Linked DNA regions of Drosophila melanogaster. The protein of the gene in region 2 interacts with the protein of the main gene of each other region in a pairwise test. Each region holds a gene or a part of one and is shown on either strand. Other genes may lie near its edges.

Region 1 (4,836 bases), on a different chromosome or scaffold from region 2:
ACAGCTGTGGGCCAGCTTAAAATCGATTATGTGGCACAAGCAGCGTAGCCGGCTCATACGCACCAAAGCCGGCATCGCTTCACTGGCGCACTTGGTCGTTGCGATTCACAATCGCTTTGGAATCGTAGATACCAACGATAAGTTTTCAAAGGAAGCCACAAGGAAGATGGTGTGCAATCGTTTGGTCAGCATTGTCGAGACTTTTCTCCCGACCAATTTAGATCGTTTGGATGTGGAGGAAGAGCATTATCGCATACTGCGCAGGAACTCCATCTATTGGCGCTTGTACATGATTGCCCTATCCAAAACGAATGCCTCGTTTAGGCGCAGCAAAGAAGTCCTTATAATGGCCATGGACGAGTGTCCCTGGGACAAGTCACTACTGATGGAAGGCGCCAAGGTTTTGCCAGTGAAACTAGCATCGCTACAGGACCTGATGACCGAAAAAGAGATTCGCATTTTCGCTATGCCCGAGGAAGTGGACGTCTTGAGGGGCTTTTAAGTCGCTTTGGTTTTATTCGTTTGTTTTGAGGTTATTTGCCATTCGGGCGACTCGATAAGTTCGCATCATAAATATATTTATTTCTTCAAACAATCTAGTTCTGAAGTTTGCTTCAACTTTAAGTTAACTGGCGAAATTGCGATAAGCTGTTTGCAGTTATATGCGTACATGCATATTTTACTACATATATCCTAAATCGCTTATCAGAATTGGCTCACTAACAAATTCAGAATTAGCGATTTTGCTACTCAAAAATACTCGCCGTTCGATTATGTTAAAAAAAAATTCCAACACTTTATCGCTCGTTGCTGTGCAAGGAAACCAGAGTCGCATATCGAATGTCGGAGATTAGTCCAACTTCATCTTCTGGCCAATCCGCTCCCCCCGAATCCAGCATTTTCTTGTGTTTATTATTTTGATTGTGTTTATCGCAAGATAACCGAACAAAACTCATAAGCCAAAACAGCGCCGAAAGAATCACTGCGCACCTGAGGTCGCAATTGTAGCACCTGGAAGCTGTGAGACGAACTAAATACAACATATTTGTTATGTCATTTTCATATCGCTGAAATGAAACATATATTGCAAATAGCTTATTTTTATATTACTGAAATTTAAAATATATTGCAAATAGTTTATGGTTCTGTTTATTTAAATTTATTAAATCATTTAAATATGCAAAAGAAATTAAGAAGTTTTCTACATTTGTAAATTACAAATAAAAATATTTATATTCCTATTTAGCTATGAGTAGTTTTAACAGCTAACTTGTTAAATATTGATAAATTTAGATTTAATATGTACACATTAAAGGATTTGTATTAAATGACATGAATGATATTGACGATAAAATGATTGATATTTTGTATGCGATCTGTTTGTGTGACCGCAAGTGTGGTGGCCAAGTTGCGTGAGCGCGAGCGAGACGGCTGTGGCTGAGTGTTGACTCGTCTCGAATGTTGCGTATGCGCCCTGTCTGCCCAGCCACTTAAGACTCCTGTGCGTTACTGTTGCTCTTTGGAAAAGCGTGGAAATCGGGAGAGGAAACGCTGTGATTGGGCAGAGGGGTAGTGGGGATGAAAAGCTCCGCTCGCCGAAACGCATCGAAAGCTGTCTGAGCGCGAGAGTCCTGGCTGCTGTCCATTCGCACGTCCGTCTGTTCGCCTGCTCGTCCACCCATCCGACATCTTTGGACCGGGCTTCATCGATGGCAGTCGGTCGGCATCTGTCCAAGTCCCACGACGCGTTGTCGCTCCGCATCGGCCGTTGCTGCAGTGGAAGCGGCCCGTTTGGCCAAGTGGCGTCTCCGTAGTCCCTAGTCTCATGGCGGCGGAGTCTCCTCTCAAGGTTTCCCAGGCACTCCAGACCGTTTCCAGTTCCTAGGTTAGTGCTAGAGCTCGGAATATCTGGCCAGTATCAGGCCAATCCATATATAATAATATATACATACATATATATATATATATGTATATATCGCTATAACGGCCGAGTGTTTTTTGTTCCATTTCGTTTCGATAGCGAGTGTAATTTTTTTGAGAGTGCTCCCCCGTTCTAAGTCGTGTGTGTGTGTGTGTTTCTCTTCCTGTTTGGGTGTGTGTGCTGCGATGTCTCTGTGTTGGTGTAGAGCAGAAGCAAGAAGAAGCAGCATTGTGTAAGACGCCAGCGTCAAGTTCGTAGACTAAACACCAACCTTCTTTTGCGGCTCTACTCTAGCAAAGGGGAAAAGCTTTTCAGAGAGGAAACTCAGAAAATGAGAAAACGATAGAGACAGAGAGCGCAGAGAGTCAATGTGCACTGCTAGAAAATGTGGGGAAAACCAGTTTGCGAGCATGCGATTCGTGACAGTTTGCATATTTTTTAAGCATCTTTATCTCAGATTTCCAAATCTATAACTCAAATATTACTAAATTTATTACAGATAAGTGTAATCAAAATAATTGATAGCTTATTATTATTATTATATAATGCTTCCTTGGAGATTGTTATAAACAGAGGAGATTCAAGTGATTTTTTGTGCAAAACTCTAGTTTTAGCAACGTTTTCTTTTTTCCCGGTGTACTGGGTGAGCATGAACTCGCCGAGGGTTTCCCGGCCGGAAACCTTAGTCAAGGTCTCGCCAGCTTTCCAACGCAGGTTGTTGCTGCGCTCTCGCTCACACTCGCTGCTGGTGGGCGTTTGGCCAATCGCCATCTCTGTCGCACCGCTGTCGGTGACGAGCGAAGCTTTTATTGTATATTTCATCTTTCACGCTCTTTTCCCTGCCATTTCTGCTTCTTTGGGGCAGCGGCACCTAGAGCGGGAGCGGGAGCGGAGTGGAGCGTGAGTGGAGCGTTAGCTTTCCGGGCAGCTGATTCGCGCTCGGCTCGGCTCTCCGCTGCCGTTGCCGCTGCCGCCGTCGCTGCTCCGCTCGTCGTCTGGCTGATTAGTTTAGTTTGTGATTTCAATATATGTAATTAATTTTTGTTTCTGTAGCGGTACGGACGGACGCGTCGCGACGTTCGCTTGGTCCGCTTGGTGTTCGTTCGGTTCGCTTGGAGCTTGGAGTTCGAATTCGGTTCGCCAGCCGTCGCTGTTTCGTATTTATTATTATTTTTTATTTTTTTTTTATGAGTATATTCGTATTTCGCATTTGTATCTGAATGTTTCTTTGGCTCTGCGTACGTGTGTGAGCGATTGTGCGAGTTTCCTTCTCTTTCAACTTGCCTTTTTCGTGGTCGCCGCCGCTGCTAAAATGCAAAGAACACGCTCGAGCAACGTAAATGGCGCCGCGTTAACGAATGGAATTGGATTATCAAACAGTGCCCCCCAGAGCCCCATATAAAAGTTGAAAAAAAAAATAAAATAAAAAACAAAACGAGGAATTAAAACCGAAATAAAACAGGCAACAAACAAACTTCGTTTTGACAACCCCCCCGCCTTTTTTTTTGTTTGCGTGTGTGTGTTTTGTGCCAGTGCTTGTGCTATAGTGTAAAAAAAAAAGTTTGAAACAACAAACCAAAAACGCGCTCGAGGGGAAATATTATCAAAAAGGTAGATGGCGGTGACCTTAAATCATATAGTAATTATAGGGCTATCTTCCAGTTGGACAGTTTCAACAACCAAACGTTGGTGTATGAAAAACTCCAATTATCCTATTATACGACTAGTATGTATATTCATAAGCCCAATGGGGCTTAAATACCGCTGTTGGTGTGTTGTTGAACAAGCTTGAACAAGTATTTTTTTGTGCTCTACGTTGGTGCATTGGAGTGTAGATATAGTTTCAACAACCGACCAACCACCAAGCGCAAAATTAATATTGTTGAAACGTTCGAGCTTAGCAGCTGTTGGTGAACCGTTGTTGGTGTATTGTTGAGTGCGCGGCATTAGATGCTGTTGATCAGAGTACTTTTGGTACTCTTGTGATCCTGTTTCATTTCCGTTTTTGTTCACTGATTTCGATGTTTTCTTGTGCAGAGAATTGGTTTTATATGGTGTAGCCTACGAGTACGAGCATATGTGCTGAAATCAGCGGCGCGTGCGCGCATTTTTGCGCGATCGAAACCCGAGAACGATTCAGTTTTTTGTTGAGTTGGGAAAAGTTTCGATTTACGAAAAACATTCCCACTGTCTGTGTTTGTCATCCTTCGAAAATCTGCTTAGCCAACATTAACGTGTTTGCCCATCCACAAACACATACAAATGCATACAAAAAAAAAACTATCACATTCGCATCGACACAATCAATGAGGCAAGACAAATAAAATTAACATATTAATGAATTTCCAGTTTCTTTTTTCGACTTATTTAATTTTTTAATAAGAAAAGAAAAAACAGAAAAACAAAACAAGCGTGAAGAACTCGAGTCTCTCGACTTCGGCATACCCAAAAAGCACGAAAGCGGGAAGTGTGATTATGGCCAAAATTCCAGATCTGCGCTTTAATGGGTGTGCGAAGATCAACGGATTCCAATGAATATAGATGTTATATGGCGGAGCACTTTATGATGGGTTCTTAGCCTCCCTTGAACTTGTGGGCAGCATGGAAAGAGTGCGATGGAACTGAGCTTTGGATGATAATAGCAATAAAAGTAAATATAAATAGCCCAGCATCAGGTATTTGTTGGCAACAATTTTTCAATGATTTACCAGTTCCGAGTTCCGATCAATAAAAGTGTTTTTTTTCTGTTTTTTTTTTTTTTGCTATTCGGTTTGGTTTTTTCTTTCCAATTTTTGTTTTTTGTTCGGCTGCTTTGCTGCTGCTCTCAAGGTTTTCTGTGTGCTGTTGCCGATGGTGATGATGGTTATGATGATGATGATGATGATGTTGATGATTTTTGTGTGGATGTTTTTCAT
Region 2 (4,731 bases):
GAAAATGTCAGCGGCAGCGGCAGCTGCTGTAGCAACAACAACGTGCCCCAATCCAACGAAATAGTTAAGTGGATACGAGAGGGCACAGTGAATGGAATCCATCAACCGCCCATGGTGATCCCCCCTACCACCTACCATCGTGGTATCCAACTGGCAGCCCAAGCCGACGAAGCCTTTCCAATCACATTACTGAGTGCCAGGCGATGTCCTCCGGGGCAAATGGGCTGGGTTTGGAAACCCAGGGAGCTACTTAGCATCCCAACTGGAAGAGATGAACCCTTCAGGAGACGAAAATCAAATGGAATGTAACAGATAGATTCCTTAAGATAACAGAAAACCCTTATCACAGCTCTATAGTTTGGAAAGATATTTTAATGAATTCTCGTGAAATAAGAATATATATACTTCATGGTTGTTATTTAAGTTAATCTTTTGAGGAATTGCAGCAAAATGAGAAGAACTTCATTTTGAATAAGTGTTAGCAACTCACTTGAATAATAAAGAAATAATAACAAATTTGTATGGCATACAGTACAGTTTCCATCAATACATGCCGCCTCTTTTTTCTTATTAAAAATTCAATGATCAGATAAATTTTCACATTTTTCCATAGCTCACCTTAATTTAAAGCGCATGCAGCAAATACTAAATACTTAAATTCGAAATACAAAAAGCACGCATATGTTTTCAGTCACACAACACGGAACCAGCGGCAAACTAAATAAGCAATGGTATTATAGAGATCACAGCCACACGCCCCACCAAGCAGCCATCGCCACTCCATACGGAATTAGCTCTCGCTTTCACTGTGGGTGGTCCTGGAAAATTCCACGAGCCACAAGAATGGAAAGCACTTTGCAGGATAAGCGCCCCGTGGCATCCTCGAAAAGACCAACCACCCCACGTTGTTGAATTGATTTTGCTATGTGAAGTGCAGCTTCACATATAAATTCCCTGCCAAATTGTTTTTTTTTTGTTTCTGCCATTGACTTGTTGCGTTTTCCATTTGATTGCCTGGCCGCAAGCCTGGGTTTATGATATGGAAATCAATTTAATTCATTCCCACAATTAGGGCCATGACTTTGGCCCACTGCAGCGGGCCAAAAGCAGAGCCATCGAGCAAATCTGCCATAAACCAGCGAACAAGAAATTCTTATGGGCGAGGGCGTGTCCACCAACTACCAACTGGCAGTTGAAAAGAGCCGTAAAACACAAGGAACCCCCAAAAGAAGAATGCGCACAGTGGGCCTAAAAAGGAAATAACAATGAATTCAAAAACATGAAAGGCAAGGAAAGTAATGAGTATTTTTGTATATTATATACAAACATAACAGCATTAACGGTTCAAACATTTTATATTAATTTTTTTTTTTAGTTTTATGGTATTTGATCCCACTGTGCTTTATTGCAAAATCGCAAGCAATGAAACGTGTGAATTTTATGAGCTCGCTGAAACTTAAATGGGTCTCCAATTTAATGACGAATTCTGCATTTTGGGAAAGAGAGAGCGCGAATTGTACGCAACAGAGCGAGATAGATGACGAAAAGCTGAGGTTTTATATATGTATGTACATTTTAGGCCGAAACATTCTTCGTTTTGCCGTGCTTTTCATTTTTCCGGTTTTCACCTTTCCGCTGCCGCTGAATCAGTCAAGACCGCCTGCCTTCCCCCCTCCCCCTTCTGGTGTCGTCTGCTCGCTGCCAGCGTCAATTACTTAATTTTAATGGCCTTTATTATGCATACCACAAACACAGAGGCGTTCGCCGAGGAGCGCTCGCATGAATATGCACACGGATTGGAAAGTGTAAAACACTCACATTAACAAGCCCATAAACAAACCTGGCTCATTAAAAAAAAACAGTCAACACAACTCGGGTTGCGGCCGCCGCAAGTCGATAGGCGAAGGAGCAAAGTGGGCGGAGGTCCTTGTGGGCGGCAGGATGCCAAGAATGTGGCAGGAGCCAACTCAATGTTGGCAGGAGGGGAGCCAGAGATCACACAGGCAACTCCAAAGCACTTCAAAAGTGCGCAAACATAAAGGTATCTCAAAAATGTATCATCTTAATTTTATATAATTTATTTGTTTTTGTAATTAATGAATAATTTATAACACATGCCTAACACATAAATATATGTAAATCCTAAGGCAATAACTAATTTTACTTATTTTCGAAAAAAAATATTCTTAGGAGATGGTTTTATATATGATATCGTTATCAATTAGCACGTCTTATTTTGACAATCAATCAATTTATGAAATCGCAGACCTGCCACAACTGGCATACATACATACATATGTATGATTGTACATATGTATGTATTTTCCGATGGATATCACTAACCTCAGGTTAACTTATCGAAGGGATTTCTCTCTGCCTCTTGTAAATCACGCACTAACATGGGGTTGTATGAATTTCGTTTGTATATATTCCACTTGTTGCCAACGGCACACGCGCGATTGTGTGTGTGTTGTGTGTGTGTGTGGGCGCTTTTCCTTCTTTACGACGCGACGCAACAACAAATAAACAAAAGCCGATGGCGACGACAGCGGCGACAGCAGCAACAGTAAAAATAACAACACAACTTTGGCGACAGCGACGCAGGTGTCGCAGACGTGTGACGTTGTTGCTGCAATTTGTTATTGTTGCTTTTGCTTTCGCTGTTTGCTGCGATGTGAGTTATCAGAAAATCACCAAACACACACGAACGCATAGGTAACACACACACACACACGAGCGCACATTTACGCACAAAACCGTACAAGTATTTCAGTCAAAAGAAACAAACAATTTGTTTATAAGTTTAATTGATCCATTTCACGCCTTTAGCTGTGTCACAAGACTTCTTGTTGTATGACAATAAGAGATGGCAGGCCAGATAGAATATCTTTTAATTCTGACAGAGTTTCAATAGCACAGCAGTTAATATTTCGTTTTCAAACAAAAAGCGTAATTTTTTAATCGGCAAACAACTAAAAGGTGTGCGGGTATTTACCAACACTGCGGCAACAGCTGTTCGCTGGTAGTTAACAGTTGGCTAACAGTAGTGTTCAGGTGTCAGTGTTGCCAGCAACAAGTTTGGAAAATATTAATGTAAATAATAATTATTAAAATAGAAAGACCAATTAATAAACTTGTGAATTTACCTAATATATATAATATTCTATTTCTAAAAATTCTATTTCAGTAAAATGATTGTATTTTCTGTTAAACTTTCTTTTTCCAGTCAGTTGGCAGTGCTACTGCAGCAGCTGTTCCGCTGTCAACGCTCACCAACACTGCGCCACATGCTCCACAAATTTTTTTGTTGCCTTTTGCGGCTGATTTGTCACTGCCAGAGTTTATTCCGCAAATAAAATCCTCTATACATGATATTTAAATCAAATACCGAGTAACCATGAGCGCCACGGATGACTTCCAGAGCTGGCTCAACGAGCAGCTGCGCAAATTGAACACCGACGAGAACGTTTTCGGTTCGTATATTATTGGAATTTTGGAGGGCGACGAAACGACAGATGAAAAAACCGAGGCTCTCGAGGGAATTCTCAGCGAAACAGGTGTAAGTTATGGTTAGTAATATCATTGCCTACATAAATTATGGTCCGTGATCTTTGCAGTCCGCCAACATTGACGAACTGGTGGCCACCATACTACAAAAGTGGCTACAGAGCCATCCCAGCGCCGATGATCCGCCGAAAAAAGGTCTGGATATCGATGTGAATGCCCAGTTGGCCAAGTTGCTGGAGCAACAGAAGCTGCAACCCGCCGTAAACAAGGAGCGTGAATACACCGAAGAGGAGCGTCGCATCAAGCAGCAGATTCTAGCTCAATACTCCCAGGTTGCTATCCATGCTGGCCAAGCTGCTGATTCCAGATATCTATTACTAGCTTTAAAGTAGAAGTATCTAGTATCTAATGACAATGCCAATCTTTTTGCAGACTGCCGTTGCCAACGAGGACGACGAGAATTCCGAGGCGGAAAGCGAGGATGACAGTGGAACGCTCACCAAGAATACCAACAAATCGGATGTCCAGGCGCTAGCCAAGGAAAAGCGGGAGCAGGCCCGAATGGATAGTGCGGCCAAAAAGCAAAAGGACAAAGAGGATCGGGAAAAGCAAAAGCAACTGCGCGAGGAAAAGAAGGAGAAACGCAAAACCGTCAAAGGCGAACGGCGTCGATAACCGTCCCCAAGCGAATATTTTTAGACTCTTTCTATTAAAAACAACAAACAACAAATCTGTACAAAGTGCATTTCGCTTGAATGTTTGCATGTTTGCCTAAAGCGAAGTAAACTTTGAAGAGATCTACCGAACTGTTGAATATAAATGTATTAAAATTGAAACGCCAAGATTTTAATTTGATATTTTCAAATGTTTTCCTTTTGATTTCCTTTTTTTTTCTTAGTTTCTTTAATTTTCTAAATTAAATTTAATGCTGTTTTCACATAGCTGTTACAAGGAAATTTGTTGTTTAACCCTAACTTGGCCAACTAGTTGTAAATACTAATGAAAATGTTAGTTTTGTGTATAATTAGTAGTTGTTTTTTTTTTAAGAATCAGCTTAATTTTGCTTATCCTCCTCCGCCTCCAAAGTATCTTCTTTGTCCGATGTCGTTTTCTTATTTCGCTCTGATTGTAGTTCCACGGAGATTTTCTTAATCGCCTCCAGATCGTGCAGTTTAATACGTCTGTTGTTGGGATCCAAGCAGTTGACTTTGACCTCTATGAAGT
Region 3 (7,767 bases), on a different chromosome or scaffold from region 2:
TCTATGTTTCGCTTGTAACTGTCAACTATTTAAAAGCAGAATTAACCATTACTTTGCTGCGCGGTTATAAAATAGTTAAATACAATTAAATTTGTTGCACTTGATTCTTTTTAACGTGAACCAAGCATTGCGGCAGTAGTACTTCGGCCATTACAAGTCCGAGCTCCGTAATTCTTATTATTCAATTACTCACACAAAATGTTAGTCCAAATGGACATCTGAGCCATGGGCTTAGTGAGCCAAGGCGATAGGCTGTATATGTGTACCCAGACAGCATGCACAGCGAAATGTTAACAAAGAAAACATTTAATATTTTATTATTTATCCCGCGCAAAACCGATCTGACCAAACTCAAGGTGTTTTTTGTTTCCGAATGCAATCGATTATAATCGATAGTTCAAACTCACCTCTGAGGGGAGTTAATTCGCCGTTATTCGGCTGCAATGCGTGCGCGCAAGGCAGATATAATGTGGCGCGCATTTCAAATCAGCTTATAAAAAAGTGTAACATTCCAACTCCTGAAAATAGGAAGTAACTTCATTGATTGAAAACACTTCCATCTTCTTTTATATAATTTATTATTTATTAAGGTTTCATTTGCATGAACTGTTACTGGTTATTATAATTAATTATTGTTAATTACAGGCTATGTTTTAATTGCTAGAGATTAGCAAGTTCTAAAAATTACATTACACATTATTATTCTTATACAGAGTATACCTCTTGACATTTGACATTACAGTTAAAACTAAATTACTAAAAAAAAACAATTCAAACTTTCATTTTTATTTGGACATATAACAACGCAAGGAAAACAAACAAAAATTAAATGAAAGGATAAGCCAAAAGTGTTTAAAGAGCACAACTCGTTTGAACAAACACTGAACGATTCGCTGGGGAATTAGCATTGGACTTTTAATTTAATTACACACTAGACAAACCGAGTTATAATTAAAAATACAAACAAAAAATTGAGCTAAACGAAAAGTTAATAGCATATATGTATGCATACATTTATAGCTAGAGGAATTTCGCTATAAAACAAAAAATAACGAAACGTGTTCCCCCCCGCCTCCCGCCTTCTCTGCGCCCATCACCAACCGCCGTTCCCCCAAACCCCCCGAAACCACCCACCGCCTCATATTTACCACTAGAACCACTTGGCCGAAAAAAAAATCATATATTCCCTCCGATACGCCGGTGATAAGAACGCAACGCCAAGGACAATGGCAAAGGCTTTGATAACAGGTCGGAGCGAGATGGGAATATGTCTCGCTCCCTTTCTGTGAGTATTGAACTACAGCCAAACTTCGCTAGTACGAACTTCAAAAACACTTTGAAATTTCAACTTAATCATATTTTGTCCAGTAGACATTATAGAAGTGTAACATAGATCAATTAAAATGATTATATTGTATTTAGCGGATTGGATTTTGGATGACAAACTTTTTTTTTAATTTTGAACACATTTGTAATAACTACAAAGTTTATAAGGATATGGATTTGGGGTATGCTTATATGCTTTGTAAAGTTCCCAAAATTAAAACTGTTGAAAAATAAAGCTGCGCCTGGAAGTGTTTTTATAGATTACAAAGGGATATCGAAGGAGATTTGTGATATAAATATATATACATAAATATATATATATAAAAATAATATGCTATTCTTCATAAAATAAAAAACCTTTAATAAAGTCTCCAATTCTGAGACTGAAGAGTTTGACTTGGATTAGTTTGACTGTACATATGTAGTCCTCTTTCTTTCTTCGAGCGAGACGGCAAAACTAAAAGCGAGCGTTTAATTTCCATCGATTGCAACATCCGTTTGTTTAACTATTAATGAGTTGTGTTTAGCACGTTCTAGACTTAGGGCGAAATAAATATATAATTGTTTGTTTGTTTTTCTATTTTCTTTTCTTTTTTTTTTTGTACTCTTTTTACACTGGTGTTTTGGGGCGGAAGGTGATAACTGGGAAATCGGGGAAATGGGGTTTAAATTTCAACTAAAACCAAATCCGAGCACTGATCTAATGTTCATTCACACCCATGCTGACACGATCACAAACTCACTCACGCTCGCACTCATACATATTTACAAATTAAACGTAATTACATAACGAAAATTATTGATAATGGAACGCATTTAGCAGCACCCACCGATCGCCATTCATCAATATAACATGTAATCAAACTACTATTTTATACCGAAATCACACACAGAAACAGTAATGGCCAAATGTACCCAAAATGTATCGCTTATGTTTTGAGAAAACGATTATCGTGATCAGATCATTATTACTGTCATAATATCAAAATAAATGCGAGCTCATATTGCATTTTCATCAAATGAAACCACGTTAATTTCGTTTTTAATACGGAAACCCTATAGATCAATTGAAGTCGAAAAGTACGTAGAAAGCGAAAATCACGGAAAGTCTCATATTAAATTACACAATTGCTTGATTTGTTAATAGCTTTTGTAAAGCCAACTCATTATACATATGTGTATACTGAAAATTAAAATTGTTTGATTGCTCAAAGCTTGGAAATGTGAATATGAAAACAAAAGGTTTTTCAACCCACGCTCTTTTTTTTCGTTTTTAAGTTTTTTGGCTGAATTTTTAAACTATTTGAATAATGCTCGTTTTTTTCTGATACATTTTGGGTTTTCATTTTGCGATTGGCCAGGATTATATTACCGATACTAATTCGTTTGTGGGCACGTGAGCTACCAATGACGTCCATTTCCACACACCCAATTAGAAGGCAAACCAGGTTCCATCAGCCCGTCATCGCAGCGTGCTGGTCAGGGTTCGATGCAGGACACTGGGACGTGTGTGGAGCGACGGTGGCGGTGATGTGTTGCTGTGCGGATCGGGCGTGTCCGGTGCTTCGCTGGCACTCAAGCTACTGGCTGGTGATAGGATACAGGATGCCGTTTCCGCCTCGCTTAGGCAGCTGCTCAGTTGCCGGATCACGCCCTGCGTGGAGTTGGTGCGCTCCTTAAGCTGCTCACGGTCACGTTCACGCTGCTTCTGATGCTCCTGCTGAAACTTTCTGGCCGCCGTCACATTGACCACACTCACCGACTTGGAGATGGAGCTCTTGACCGATGAGGGAGCCGGCGGCACCAAGGCCAAGGCGGGCGTGGGCGAGGGAGCTAACTCCTCGAGAGTTAAGGTATTTGCTGGCGAACTGTAGCCATCGTCCATTAGGCTTTCCATGCCCTGGCCGCCAACCGTCTCTGCTGAATCCACACTCTTCTGTAGGTTCTCTATTAGATAGAGGACAATTCTCTCAAGTTGCTGCGGTGCCTGCGAGGCGGGCAAATCGGGACTGCTGCTCTGCGTGGGCATCTCCGCCTTGATGATTGTCGAGAATTTCTCCTTCATCTCCTGCACCTTTTGCCGGCCCGCCTCCTCATCGAGCAGCGTGTTGACGCACAGAAAGGAATGCACCTTATTACTGCCACGGTCGACCTCCAGAAATCCCTTGGTGTGCAGGTAAATGAAGCGCCCGTTGCGGGACAGCAGACGGTAGCAGCTCTCGCCGTAGTCACTGTTGCAATCGTACATTTGTCGAAGGGCCACAATCACCCAGCGAACGTCGTCCAGGTGCATGAAACAGAAGGGACTAAGGTTGCGCACCTGTTTCGAGTGGAGAGTACACGATTAGTTGTCGTAAGCAGTTCAGAGAGATGATGTTAATATACCCACCTCATCCTTCATATATCCCGCCACCAGACCAATCCTTTGATCACAGTCGATGATGCTGCCGTCGATTAGATGCCTCGTATGGTACTCCAACTGATAGGGTTCTGGCTGTCTGTAAATGGTCAAGCCCACTGTACCCTCCGTCTCCTCAGGCGGCCGTTCCTCTCGCAGCACCCTGGCCATGGCCACCAGGACAATATCATTGCCGCTAATCCCGTGCAGCGCCGCCTGGGCAATGGCATCGTGCTGGGGCGGCACCGTCGCCGCTTCTGCTGCCACTGCTGCAGCAGCAGCCAGCATATTGTTGTTTCTCGAGCGTCGTATCAGCTGGGAGACAATCGGATAGTTGGCAGCGGCACCTCCGGTTAAGGAGGAGTCACTGCGACGAAAGCAGCCATCGATCTTAACCCGCTCGTAATGACGCGTGGCCTCCGCTCGCGTGGAAGCCCTAGCCAAGCGGACGGTAAAGCAGCGCCGATCCATGCGTAGTCGGTCATCAATGGTCGCCAAATGGGCCATTCTCCGCGGGCTGGGTGTTCGTCGGTTGTACGGGTGATCCTCGTCATCGTCCGCCTCTCCCTGCTGCCGACCCAGACGGTGTTCCTCCGTCTCCATTTCCTCCTCCTCCAGATCACTGCCCGAAGTTGAGGCCGACGTGGAAGTGGAGTGCTGCTGGGGATTGTGCCCCTGCTGCTGGTGGTGCTGATGCTGATAGAACAGGGTCTCTATATCCCTGGGTATTAGCTGCTGTCTTAACAGATCCTGATCATCGGGATGCGTGATCTGCAGTAGATTCTGGCCATACAAATCGGACTGACAGTGACCCAATAGCTGCTCCACGCTGGTGGATACCAAAACGATTTGGCCACTGCAGGTTAGGGTGAGGAAGCAGCAGTCCAGCAGTTGCATTAGAGTGTCCGTTAGATGCAGACTGGGATTGGGTAGATCTCCGACAGGTGAGGCAGACATACCCGTTCCCTTGAGGCCGGTTTTCTTGCGACGTCTGGAAGCGGACTTGCCAAAGACATACTGAAGTCTCAGGCCATGGGTGGCGAATCTAAGGACGGCGGTTTTGTCCAGGCGACGGGAGGATTCGGCTGCATGTGGTACCATGGTGGCCAGCTCCTGGATGCTGGCATTAAGCTTATCCCGTCGCTGTTTTTCGGCAAGGTTACGGGCCTCCCGTCCATTCGCTGGATCTGAGGAGCTCCCACTTCCCGATCCCGATCCCGATCCCGATCCTGTCGAGCCAGCGGATCCTGTGGAGCCCGTGTTGCCCGTCTCTGGTGCTGCCATTTTGGACTTTTTGGGCGTTTTCTGGAGTTACTGCCTCCTTGTTTTCCACTTGTAATCCTCGATTTATGGATTTTCCCCTTTAATTGGCGCCTTGCGGTAAATGAAAATCGTCACTCTCCATAACAGGGTGTACGCTCCGCACTTCTAGAATTGTTATTATGGAAATTTTTCGGCTAAAATATATTTTTTATTACTTTTGCAGCTTTTAGTTTCTTATTTTTGGCTGTTGTCTTGTTTTTTTTGCTGCTTTTAAAGTTTTCAAGGTCTCGCTTATGCTGTGCTGTTGTTTTTGTTTTTGCTCGCCTCCCCTCTCTCGCTCACTCTCCTTCGCTCACTGACACACACACACACACGTCACTCTCACGCAACGTACATATGTTTTCTCTTTTCGCTTTCGTACTTTTCCACTTGCTTTTAGTCTTATTATTACTATTATTTGCTTCCCTATTTATTTATGCGTTTCGCCTTGTAGTTTTTTATTTTTCGTTTTTTTTTTACGTTTTGATTGCGTTGCGAATCTGAATCTCCTGCTTATTGTTGTTGCTGTTGCTGGTGGCGTTGTTGTTGTTGCGATTTAATGCCCGCAATAAGGAAATTCGGAGGGCGGCGGTCGTTTTAACAACGCACTTGCTGCTTGCACTTATTTTTGTTTATACTAAGTGATTAATTGTTTATTTGTAACATTTATTTTATAACAATAAACATTGGCCAGTCTAAAAACTATCGATACATCGATGTAACTGGTTGTCGTACTAAAATTCGCACGTTCACACCGGACAAAATATCAGAAAGATTCGAACATCTTGTTCGCTGTCGATAACATTGTTGTAATACATGTAATCTATCAGGTCTTTTTATAATTCTATTATAAATTATTTTTATTAATTCTTATTATAATACATAAGTCCACAGTAATAATGTAATAACTTTTGATGTTACAATAAATCCATAAATATTTTTGCTACAAAATTCGAATAATTTCGATAGCAGACGTCATGCAATTTTATTATCGATTAGCACGCTCGATAACTATTGGCGCTCTTTCTTGTTTACGGCATTTCATTTTCTGCTGAAATTGGCTGTTTTTTGAACGTTATTAACTGAGGAGTTATTATGGATGCCTTTGATCCACGCTCGATTATCAACGGCGGCATGCTGAAGCAGTTTTCCGGCCAAACCGTGAGCATAATGGTTCGCGTGGAGAGCGTCGCGGGATCCACTTTGCTGGCCAGTTCCACAGACAACCACAAGCTAAAGATCAATCTGCCGGGTGAGCTGGGCGCCGCCGAAGGGGCCTGGGTCGAGGTCATTGGAGTGCCCCATGGTGCGGACACCCTCAGGGCCAAGGAGGTGGGTGCACTCAATCCATGGAGTCATTTATTTCAATGATCCCAAACCATTTGCCCACTATTCATTTGCAGGTCATCGAGTTTGGCGGCGAGAACATCGACTTCGATAAGGATGGCTATAATGGATTGAGCCACCTGATTAACAATGTCAAGGCCTTCTATCGCAGCGGCTAGGATGTCCACAATTATATCTAAGAATTAATATTATGTACTCTAATGTTATTTTTTCCATTTTTTTGGAGAACACTCAGAGCTGGCATTAACTTTAAATATAAATCATCTATCTACATATATTACGAGTACAATTTACGGGTGTTTTAACCAGTTCCACGTATATTCTACAACAAATACTTAATACCCACAATTTAATAACATAAACAACACATTCTTAAACGCTCTTGTGTAATAACATTTACTTCCACAATTTGTTATTGTATATATGTTGGTATAAAAAGACTAACTAGCAGATAATCAATTCAACAGTTGAACAATTAACATAGGGCGAGCCAGCTGACGAGTGATGACCAGTTGCATGGACTCCAAGTCCGTATGCAACTTGAGGGTTATTGCAGCACAGCCGCATTGGCCACCACGCTAGGATTGTTGACCACCTCGCCGAGCGAATCGAGAACCTCCTTTCTGTAGTCATCGAACTCTCCAACAATCTCGTTGATCGTCTGATCCTCAATTACGTAGAGAGTGCAACCTGTTTCACGGATCAAACGCTCGTCGTGGGAGACGATGATCACGCCACCCTCGTACTCGTTGATTGCCTCCGCCAAGGCGTCGATACTCTCGATGTCCAGATTGTTCGTAGGCTCATCGAGAATTAGTACATCCGGCGCACTCAAGCATAGCTCAGCGAGGGCCACACGGGCTTTCTGACCACCGGACAGATCCTTCATCTTGATGGTGTGTGCATGACTGACCAAACCAAAGGAACCCAATGCCTTACGCGCCTTTTCGTGGGGCAGATTGAACAGACGCTGCAGGTACTCTGCAGCCGATTCCTCTGCCGTGAGATGTTCACCTGAGTGCTGATCGAAGCGGCCCACATGAAGTCGGTGATTCTTGCGCTGCTCACCCTCCTGCGGTTCCAATTCACCGAGCAGCAGCTTGAGGAAGGTTGATTTGCCCACACCATTGGGTCCCACGATGGCCACTCGACTAGTTAGATCAATGCCAAAGTCAACCTTGATGAACAGCGGTTTCTGGCTCGGAAAGGCGAAGGTGACATTGTGGACACCCAGAATGGGTGGCTGGAGCTGCGATGGCTCCGGGAAGCGGAACTTGACAATATATTCCTTGGGCCTGGCCAACAGCTCCTGAGGTCCCTCATCCTCGTCCTGTTTCTGCTGCTTAGACTTGTTCTTCTCCTGCTTGCGTGTGAGCGATTCCTTCTGCTTCTTT

Evidence for each region.
Region 1: the proteins of tai (region 2) and gce interact in a two-hybrid assay, tested with the Drosophila melanogaster proteins (one study listed by BioGRID).
Region 3: the proteins of tai (region 2) and Met interact in a two-hybrid assay, tested with the Drosophila melanogaster proteins (one study listed by BioGRID).

The regions. Positions count from the first base shown.
Region 1 is NC_004354.4:15,296,052-15,300,887, forward strand, and holds the start of gce (germ cell-expressed bHLH-PAS), read left to right. Parts: upstream 1-1,714; 5' UTR 1,715-1,885; intron 1,886-1,985; exon of another isoform or gene 1,986-2,166; intron 2,167-2,957; exon of another isoform or gene 2,958-3,532; intron 3,533-4,457; exon of another isoform or gene 4,458-4,571; intron 4,572-4,836. Other genes in the region: CG5877 (uncharacterized protein), read left to right, coding at 1-502.
Region 2 is NT_033779.5:9,165,051-9,169,781, reverse strand, and holds the start of tai (taiman), read right to left. Parts: upstream 3,005-4,731; 5' UTR 2,344-3,004; intron 1-2,343. Other genes in the region: CG9586 (uncharacterized protein), read left to right, coding at 3,398-3,559, 3,618-3,839, 3,910-4,182; CG13108 (uncharacterized protein), read right to left, coding at 4,562-4,731.
Region 3 is NC_004354.4:11,614,109-11,621,875, reverse strand, and holds Met (Methoprene-tolerant), read right to left. Parts: upstream 5,753-7,767; 5' UTR 5,009-5,752; coding exon 3,716-5,008; intron 3,647-3,715; coding exon 2,789-3,646; 3' UTR 596-2,788; downstream 1-595. Other genes in the region: RPA3 (replication protein A3), read left to right, coding at 6,122-6,358, 6,430-6,531; CG1703 (uncharacterized protein), read right to left, coding at 6,921-7,767.